2 linked regions of the Oryzias latipes genome follow. The protein of the gene in region 1 binds, or shares a complex with, the protein of each later gene. Links are inferred from orthologs where the notes say so. Each region holds a gene or a part of one and is shown on either strand. Other genes may lie near its edges. The genes, in order: med16 and med21.

Evidence for each region.
Region 2: med16 (region 1) and med21 share a complex: the UniProt entries of both Homo sapiens proteins name them as parts of the mediator complex. The link is inferred for Oryzias latipes from reciprocal best matches to the Homo sapiens genes MED16 and MED21.

What each region holds. Positions count from the first base shown.
Region 1 is NC_019862.2:1,605,381-1,609,742, reverse strand, and holds the start of med16 (mediator of RNA polymerase II transcription subunit 16), read right to left. Parts: upstream 2,977-4,362; 5' UTR 2,819-2,976; intron 914-2,818; 5' UTR 876-913; coding exon 737-875; intron 667-736; coding exon 559-666; intron 478-558; coding exon 308-477; intron 236-307; coding exon 1-235. UniProt on the Homo sapiens protein: Component of the Mediator complex, a coactivator involved in the regulated transcription of nearly all RNA polymerase II-dependent genes.
Region 2 is NC_019881.2:3,908,673-3,913,158, forward strand, and holds the start of med21 (mediator of RNA polymerase II transcription subunit 21), read right to left. Parts: upstream 3,079-4,486; 5' UTR 3,056-3,078; coding exon 3,014-3,055; intron 1,956-3,013; coding exon 1,841-1,955; intron 1-1,840. Other genes in the region: fgfr1op2 (FGFR1 oncogene partner 2), read left to right, coding at 4,376-4,486. UniProt on the Homo sapiens protein: Component of the Mediator complex, a coactivator involved in the regulated transcription of nearly all RNA polymerase II-dependent genes.

The sequences.
Region 1 (4,362 bases):
CCACAATGTTACCTCCCCCAGTGAAGGCAATATCAGCTAATGCCACCCGTCCTCGAAGCCGGCACAGACTCTCACTGGCCGTCAGCAAGGAGCCGCCTGGCTTTAGCAATGACACGGAGACCAAACCGCTAACTGTTACTGCTAACCAGCCTTCCATTGGTTTTCCTCCAAACAGGGTGAGAGAAGGAGAGAACTTCACCCGGGAGAACTTTTCTCCAAAGTTTGTGGAACCAGACTGAAAGCAGAAGATGTCGTGTCAATTTTTTACTGGTTCTGGGGCTTTTCTACTATGTAGAAGGTGCCTTACCATCTCCACATGCAGAGCCAGTTTGACTCCATTATGCAACCAGCTAAGGGCAATTATGGGATCTCTATCCAAAGAGCTAGACAGGATGCTCTCCCAGCTGTTTACCAAGTGATCAGTCATGGACCAGCACTTAATCTGACCATCGCCATCGGCAGAGAGCAACCGTGATCCTACACACACAAGAACACAAGCACTTGACAAAACAATAACAGTTTAATACTCTGAAAAAAGTCAACTAAAGTAAAGCCTACCTGACTGGTCCCATTCCAGGCAGGAAATGACCTCAGTGTGACCAGAGTTGATAGAAAAGACATCCCAGGGGTGCTCAGTGTCGATGATGTGGATCATGTGACTGACATCTGAAAAAGAGGTTCAGGTAGCCGGGACCAAGAGTTGGACGTGTGTGCGTGTGCGTGTGTGTCTGTGTACCCTTCTCATTGTCGTCACTTTTCAGGTCTGTGGTAAACGCCACCAGGTTCCTGCAGGACCACGAGCACACTACTGGTATGGATGGACAGTGAGCGTTCTTCTGTCGCTTCTCCCAGTCACAGACATATGCCAGTTCCATGTCCAAAGGGGAACAAAGACGCCTCGTCCACACCTGACCTGAATGGGAGACAGAGGAACACATCTGTCACTAAGTGAACACATCTGTATTTCAAAGCAGGTTAGAGGTTAGATCATTGTTAAGGAACAGAATAATTAACCATGTCAAGCATTATATTTAGTAAGTTTCCATTTAATCCTATTTTGATCTATTGTGAAAACATACCCAGTCAGGGTAGGATTCTTAAAACATCCAAAACACTATTTCCATCACAGTGGGTTTTTTTTTTTTAACCAAGTGAAACCCACTGAGATCAGATCTCATCTTCAAGGGTGACCTGGCCAAGAGGTCAGCAGCATACGCCACATGAATAAAGTCACAATATTAAACAAATATGACACAGAATGATGACTAGAGAATTTTACAATGTAAACTTAAAAGTTGAAAGTGAGGATCAACAAAGTGACTTGGTAATGTTAGATGGGAATTTGTGTCATTTGGAGAGTACAAAAGTAGTGAGTAGCATGACATTAATAGCCATCAGTTATCAGTTCACGTTAGAAACACAGACATTGAAGGACGGACCGTTTATATTTGACTCAATATAATGAAGCTGAAAAATCTAAGTGAAGAAAGTTCAGACCATTTATGAGGTTTTACTAAAATATTTTTAAAACGTTTGCAGATTAAATTTGTGAATCTCCAATCTCCATTCCTTCACTACAGGAACTAAATTCAAAACTAGTTTTGAATTTACATTGAGTTTAATGGTCAATGGAGCCAAAACCTCAACTATGAGAAACAAAATCTGAAAAAAATACAGAAAAGCACATTGTCCAATTTTTAAAGAATTCATTCGTAAATTATGGAGGAAAATAAGTATTTGGTCAATAAAAAAGTTCAAGTCAATACGTTGCTATTTACCCTTTGTTGACAATGACAGCAGTCAGACGTTTTCTGTAAGTCTTCACAAGGTTTTCAAAAACTGTTGCTGGTATTTTGGCCCATTCCTCCATGCAGATCTCCTCTAGAGCAGTGATGTTTTGGGGCTGTCACTGGGCCACACAAACTTTCAACCCCCTCCAAAGATTTTCTATGGGGTTGAGATCTGGAGACTGTCTAGGCCACACTAGGACTTTGAAATGTTTCCTATGAAGCCACTCCTTTGTTACCCGGGCAACGTGTGTTTAGGATCGTTGTCGTGCTGAAAGATCCAACCATGTCTCATCTTTAATGCTGATGGAAGGAGGCTTCCCTCCAAATCTGACCATACACTGCTCCATTCCTTCTTTCCTTTACGCAGATCAATCGTTCTGTCATTGCCATTCATTCATTCATTCATCTTCTAATCTGTTTTATCCCTCTCGGGGTCGCGGGGCTGCTGGAGCCTATCCCAGCCACTCGCGGACGAAGGCTGGGGGCATCCTGGACAGGTCACCAGTCTGTCACAGCTGTTATTTCCAGCAAATGAACTTTTGTCATTGATCATTAAGTTATTTTCTATCATAATTTACAAATAAATTCTTTAGAAGTCAGACAATGTGATTTTCTGTTTTTTTTAACTCATTTTGTCTCATATTAGTTAAGGTTTACCTATGATTAAAATTACAGGCCTCTCTCATTTTTTGAATTGTGAGAACCTAAACAATTGGTGGCTGACTAAATACTTTGTTTGCCCCACTGTAAGTAAACCTTGTATGTATTCGGTCATTTATTTAAATTCTACCATAAACTTGAATTTGCTCACATGACAGCACCACGAAACACATCAGTCTTCTGGATGTTTACCCCAAGTTTTTATGAACAACGATGCAAGTTTGAATTTCCAAAAGAAAAGTGTTGCTCGTCAACAGTTCGGTTTTCTTGACTTTCTTTACAAACAAACCCAGCAGCAAAACTCCAGAAAAAACGTGATGCAAATGAAAAGAAAAACCCGCTGACTTAGTCTATTATGATGAACTCACCTATTTGAAACTGGCTTTCAAAAGTTAACAGCCAAAACTGAAAGAAGTTTTAAGAACGACTTCAGAAAGAAAACATAAATACGAGTTGGAAAGAACGGCACTTTGAAAGAAACAAAGACCGCAGCAGAGACTGGCGCGTGTCAGGCCCCCGTATATGTGTGCCTATACAGCTGCCTGTCTGAAAAATATGTTTAGAGTACGAAATAAGAAAATTAGGCCCAGACAATTTATTACAAAGCTTTCAACTTAAGTAAAAACATTGAAGTAATTAAAAATCCACACTGTGTCTTCTACAACGTTTCTAATAAATACTTTTATGATCCTATTTTAGTCTGGCTAAACCCGAGGTAAACCTTTTTTTCCCTCTGTAACTTTATTAACAAGGAGCAAAATACAAAGTTAAGTTGAATACATTTTCAATTCTCACTCTCAAAAGAAAAAGCAATACTTCAAAATGCTTTTTCATTTTATACTTCAACCCAGCTTTTTCTGTCACTTAATTAAAATGATAAAGAAAATGGTATTTGACATTTCATTTTCAAAAAGGTCCCTGGTAAATGTGTAGCATAATTCATTTAGAAATGTCTAATTTGACAATTAAAATGGATTAACAGAAATGCTTTTTAATTTTCAAAATGTAGCTGCATTTTTTGACTCAAAATTAAAAAGAAAAAGCAATATTTCAAAATGCTTTTTCATTTTATACTTAAAACCGCTTATTCTGTGTCATAATTAAAACGAAAATGCAAAGAGGGGATTGCATTTGCATTTTAACATCCACCCTGCGCACCTTGTCACAATATTCATTTCGAAAAAGCATTAGCAGAGGGGAGGCGGGGCGATGACGTCACTGCTTTCTCTGTGTGTCCGGCTGCTGACTGACGCACACACACGCACCAGGAGCAGACTGTGTTAGTGGCAGAGAAGAGGGTTTTGTGATGGTTGTGAACTTCTGATGAGTTTCCACAGCTTCTCAGGACTAAGTAGCTGCATGTCCGCCTTCTGCGGTCCTCCTCCTGACGCACCGCGATCGCTGAAGGCGGAAATGCTGCGGCGATCTGAGAAACCATCATATGAATTTGTGTTTCCAGTGGTGTCCAGAACAAAATAAAGACTGATTCCCACATATTTACACATTTATTTGCAGCTTTGCGGTGAATTTGCTGTATTTTTTGAATTTGATGTATTTTCTCTCATATATTCCTGTTTTGATGATTTTAATACTCATTTTGTTAGTTATAAGTTCTCTGTTTTTAATAAAGGAATGTAGGGTGTGAGAAATCTGTCAAAAAGAAACATAGTCATAAAAACAAAGTTGCAAAAAAAAGACATGAAGACAACATTTTAATTTTACGTTTGAATGCGATTTGTCTTTGTTATAAATACGACTCTTGTTTGTCTTGAATACCAAATTTACCTTGATAACAAACTGTCAAAAATACGTCACATGGTCACAGGCATACGAGTCCCAAAACGTTGATTCAACTGGGTGAGCATGTACATTCATGTACATTGGAGACTCTTCTTAAACTAATAGAATTACA
Region 2 (4,486 bases), on another chromosome or scaffold:
AGAAGAGTTCTCAACGGTGAACGACGACACGCGTCGTTTGCAGAAGTAGTTAACGCTAACAATGGATGTCAACAACAGTGTTGTCAACAGAGGAGCTCTTTTGGCAGTATTAAATTTATTTTCACAAAGGAGCCAGCACAATTACAATCTTATCATTTTAAGAAGGCACTGTGTGTGTAATAAGAGAGAGGAGAGAGCGCGTAGAGCGCCGGAGGGAGTGTGTGTGTGTGGGGGGGGGGATGGGGGGGGGGGGGGCAGCGGAAGTGTGTCGGGTGCGTGCATTCATGTTGTGTGTTACAGAGGAAGGAGAACGATAATAAAAGAAGGCTTCCCCCAGAATAAATGCTATAATTGACTCTTTATTAACCCGCTCTGGAGAATCTGAGGGTCCGAACGGGGAAGTTAATTCCGGAGGAGGATCTTCCTTCAGCCCTGGAGAAGATCCCCCCCCCCTGCTTCCGACCACAGTCGGAAAGAAAAAAAAGTCAGGTGGGAAAGGTTCAACACCACGCTCGGCCATTTTGCTGGAAATATTTTCAAAAACTGCCCGGTTGCGATAAGAGCCCTGGAGTTTGGCCTGAATGGAGCTGTCACCCCAAATATGAATCCAATCGGTGACCTCGCTTCCCTTCCACTGACTGGTCTCAGCAGCATCGTCCGCCATGGTTGATGTTTATCTTCTGGTTCCGCCTACTTCAACGCAGAATTATGACGTTTGAGAACGTATCAATGAGGTACGGGTCGGATTCATGTGGCCTGGCCGTTCAGACGGAGGTCGCATTTGAAAAGATCGGATACGTATTGGATTCAGGACCACATACCCAAGTGGCCTGGTTCACATTTGAAAAGATGGGATCTGTGTCGTTCAGACTGTCATGAAAAGATCAGATACAGGTCGCATGGGGGAAGAAAATCAGAATTGGGTCGTTTCAGCCTGCAGTATGAACGAAGCCAAAGTTACCTTTTCAGCTAATGCAAAACTGATAAAAACAGCCACTAACTACATGCTTTTTCTGCTAACATAAACATATGCCTATTTAGTTTCACTTAAATAAAAGAAGTATGACAAAAATAAATGAATCTTTATGAAATTTCACCGTTTATTCCTGTCCCTCAGTTTTGTTCAACCCGTAACAGCCTATCAATCCCCCTTTAAAAAAAAATAATAGTTCAGTCCAACTTCTTCAGCAGCCAGGAAGTGACATCACTGAATATTTTCCTGCTCATACTCTGAAGACAGGTAAGTATTAGCCTCCTTTCTTACCCATATTTCATAGTTTCTGTTGTCAGATTGACTTTGTCAAGCTCAACCTTTCAACTCTGTTAAATTAATAAATGATATTTACTATTGTTTGGGAAAAAGCTAACGATTGCTTTGAAATATGTATTAAATTCTTGTTTTCCTCATGCCATATGTAGCTTCATATCCTAGCTAATGTAGACACGTGACAACTTCAACCTCGTAATATTCTACTCCGTAACAAAACACACTGTCACAGTGACAAACTTTCTAACAATTTGGGGGATTTCATGTCTAAAGTGGGAAAACATCTTTTCTCAGAGGTTTAAATAGTCCTTAATCTGATGTAATGTTAAGAAACACACATTTTTTAGGTAAGATTTTCAATTACCAATGTGCACCGAATTCAGAGAATGACCCGTCTAGCCCCTGATATCAATCATGTCCCAATATCCAACGGCATCGAAGGCCCACCCCAACGTAAAATGAGGCTGTACTCCGAAAGTGAAAATTCAGAATTGAAACTGTAAACCGAGGACTGAAGGTGAAGAGCAGGCGGCGACCCAGTGGGTCTTTAGAGACAGTCGGCGTCAGACTAACCTTCAGTGGGGTTGGCCGGCTGGTCCTTGTTGATAGCGGTCTGGATGTTGCTGAAGGACGCAGGGGGAGCAAATTGTTGCAAAACACCGATGGCGTTACAAAACTGATCTGCAAGCTGCCCACGCAAAAGCAGAACACACAGTTCAGACCGAGCTGAAGCCGACCTGCACCACACATCCCGAATAGATTCATTTTATGTTTGAAACACAGACAGAAAGGTCAAAACAATCAAGCTTGGATTATAACAAAGCACAGCAGGAAATTCTACTCATTGGAAATGAATGGATATTATATTAAACATTTCATTTTAAAAACATTTTTGGTATAATTGTCTTCCATTATTCTTTATCTGGCTGTATGCAAATATTTCAAGCATTTTCAGCAAGATTTTGGTTTTATTTAAGACGGTTAAAATCTTTCATAGAGAAAAGAGAATTATGAAGTAGTACACTTCTTGTAAGTTAGAATATTTTTAGGTTTTTGCTCCTTCTTCATGTAATCATATGTATTATGCCCTTCAGGCATTTATTTCGAAATGTCATGAAGATTAAGTGTAGGGGTTGGAGTGCCTGAAGTTCAATATTGTCATATGTTATATACATATGTATATCTTTAGTCCATATGCTAGTAAGAAATGTCATCCGGCTGACCTAAACAATAACAGAACGGTTGGCCTGTACCACCACACATCATGATTCCTATAATATTCCAGCTAAATGAGCAAACAAGCTGCTTAGTGCTTTCAGGAGTTTCCTGATAGAGCTACACTAAAGGATGGCTAGCATGCTAAGAACAAATGGGACTCTAACTTTGTTTGACAGCATATTTTGACCGGCAGGATTAGGATAAGTCTCAAAACGAACAATTTATAGGGTAACTTCCTGGTTTGGGTACCTTTTTAAATAATTTCCACTTCCTTTCATGCGTCTTCAACTTTAATTCCAATCTACTTCAGCATTTTGGCAAACAGCTTCAGCAAACACCAAGTAAGTAATGCTATTTATTAAGTTAGCATTAGCATTGTTAGCTGCTGTGATGTTACGCCCTCAGTAAATAAATTAGGAAACAACTTCCATTAAAACCTATATATAATGCACATTTCATATTTAAATGTATATGTGACAGTCTTTCTATATCACAATTTTTGTCAAATATTTAACATTTTTATTTTACCGAGTTGACAGCATCTTGTAGTTGCGTTAGCCGGTCCGCCATATTTACCTGTATTTGACAAAAGTCCGTCGTCAACTATCGCGAGAGCATTGACAAAATCTCGCAGAAATTGACGTCATTTCGGAAGACAAGATAGCTAAAGAAAGTTAGCCCGTCAACAACCTTAAACCTGTTATTTTAGACTTGAATACCATAGAGACTTTTGCGAAATTCATTTTTTGTACTTTAGTATATTTTTTTATGTCTTAAAGAAACAAAGTTTAAGTTTAACGTATAATCCGATATTCGTGTTAGCATAAGCATGATGTTGCTATTCTGAGCTACAACATAAAATATCAGGAAGAAGATCTATTTTCTGGTTGCACTTTGAACTCTTCAGGTAAGACCACTTCAGTGTTAAATTAAGACACCTTTACATGCTTTGGTACACTGTTTATGAGGTACGTTTGTATGTTTTGTTGGAAAATTTGTCAGGATTTAGAGAGCAGCTTCGTTAGTTGTAACTACTTTACTACTACGTAAGCAAAGACATAATTAGCTGTTTGTTTCTGCTTGCTTAATTTTTTTGTCATAAGAAAGTATATTTCATGATCATAAATCTCCTGCAGTTCGACATCCTCTTTTTTCCCCTTTTAAACTGTGACACATTCGTTAACATCCTGCTTTAGTGGGTGAGCAGGAGGGTCATACCCGGTAAAGTTACATTGTTTGGTGGTGGCAGTGTGATGGTATGGGGCAGCATCTCCTGCTCGTTATTACTGGAGGAAATCTTGATGTAGAAGTTATACATCGAATTCTGCTAAAATAAATATTTAGTGTGTTTTTAAACCTGAATTACCCAAACACGACATTGGCAAAATTAGATGCTTAGCAGCGAATGTTCAACCAGTCATGATGGGTGCATTTCATAAACGGAGCTACGTATTCCCTTAAACTCTAAACAAAGATTTAAGATAAGTATTGTAACTAAAAAGTAATCTGCTTAAAACCAATTTCCCTGCTTTTTGTACTGTTTACATCACTTTCTATCATTTAACTTTCCATCTTAAATCTGTAAGACGCTGAGTATCTTAACGCTAATGTGTAAGTAAATGAAAAATGCAGGGATCTACTACTCTTTACTTCCAGATGTTCATTACTCACCACAGTAATTAGGTTTTTATCTCACTAAAACTGAACAAACAGAAAGCAAAAGAGTAAAACAGTTTTATGAAGGAAATTGCCCAATTTGTTATATTACTTACAGACTTGAACTCGATGTTTTTTTTCTTCTTAAGTTTTCACATTTCTTTAAAACCAGATTGATATTTTCTAAAAAATGTCCTGCTCATCGATTTTACTTTAATGTTTTCCCCTTTAGACATGAACTGTACGTTAGAGAAAGTCCTGGCAGATGCTAAGTCCTTGGTAGAAAGGCTCCGTAACCATGACAACGTAGCCGAGATGTTAATCGAACAGACAACATCTCTCAAC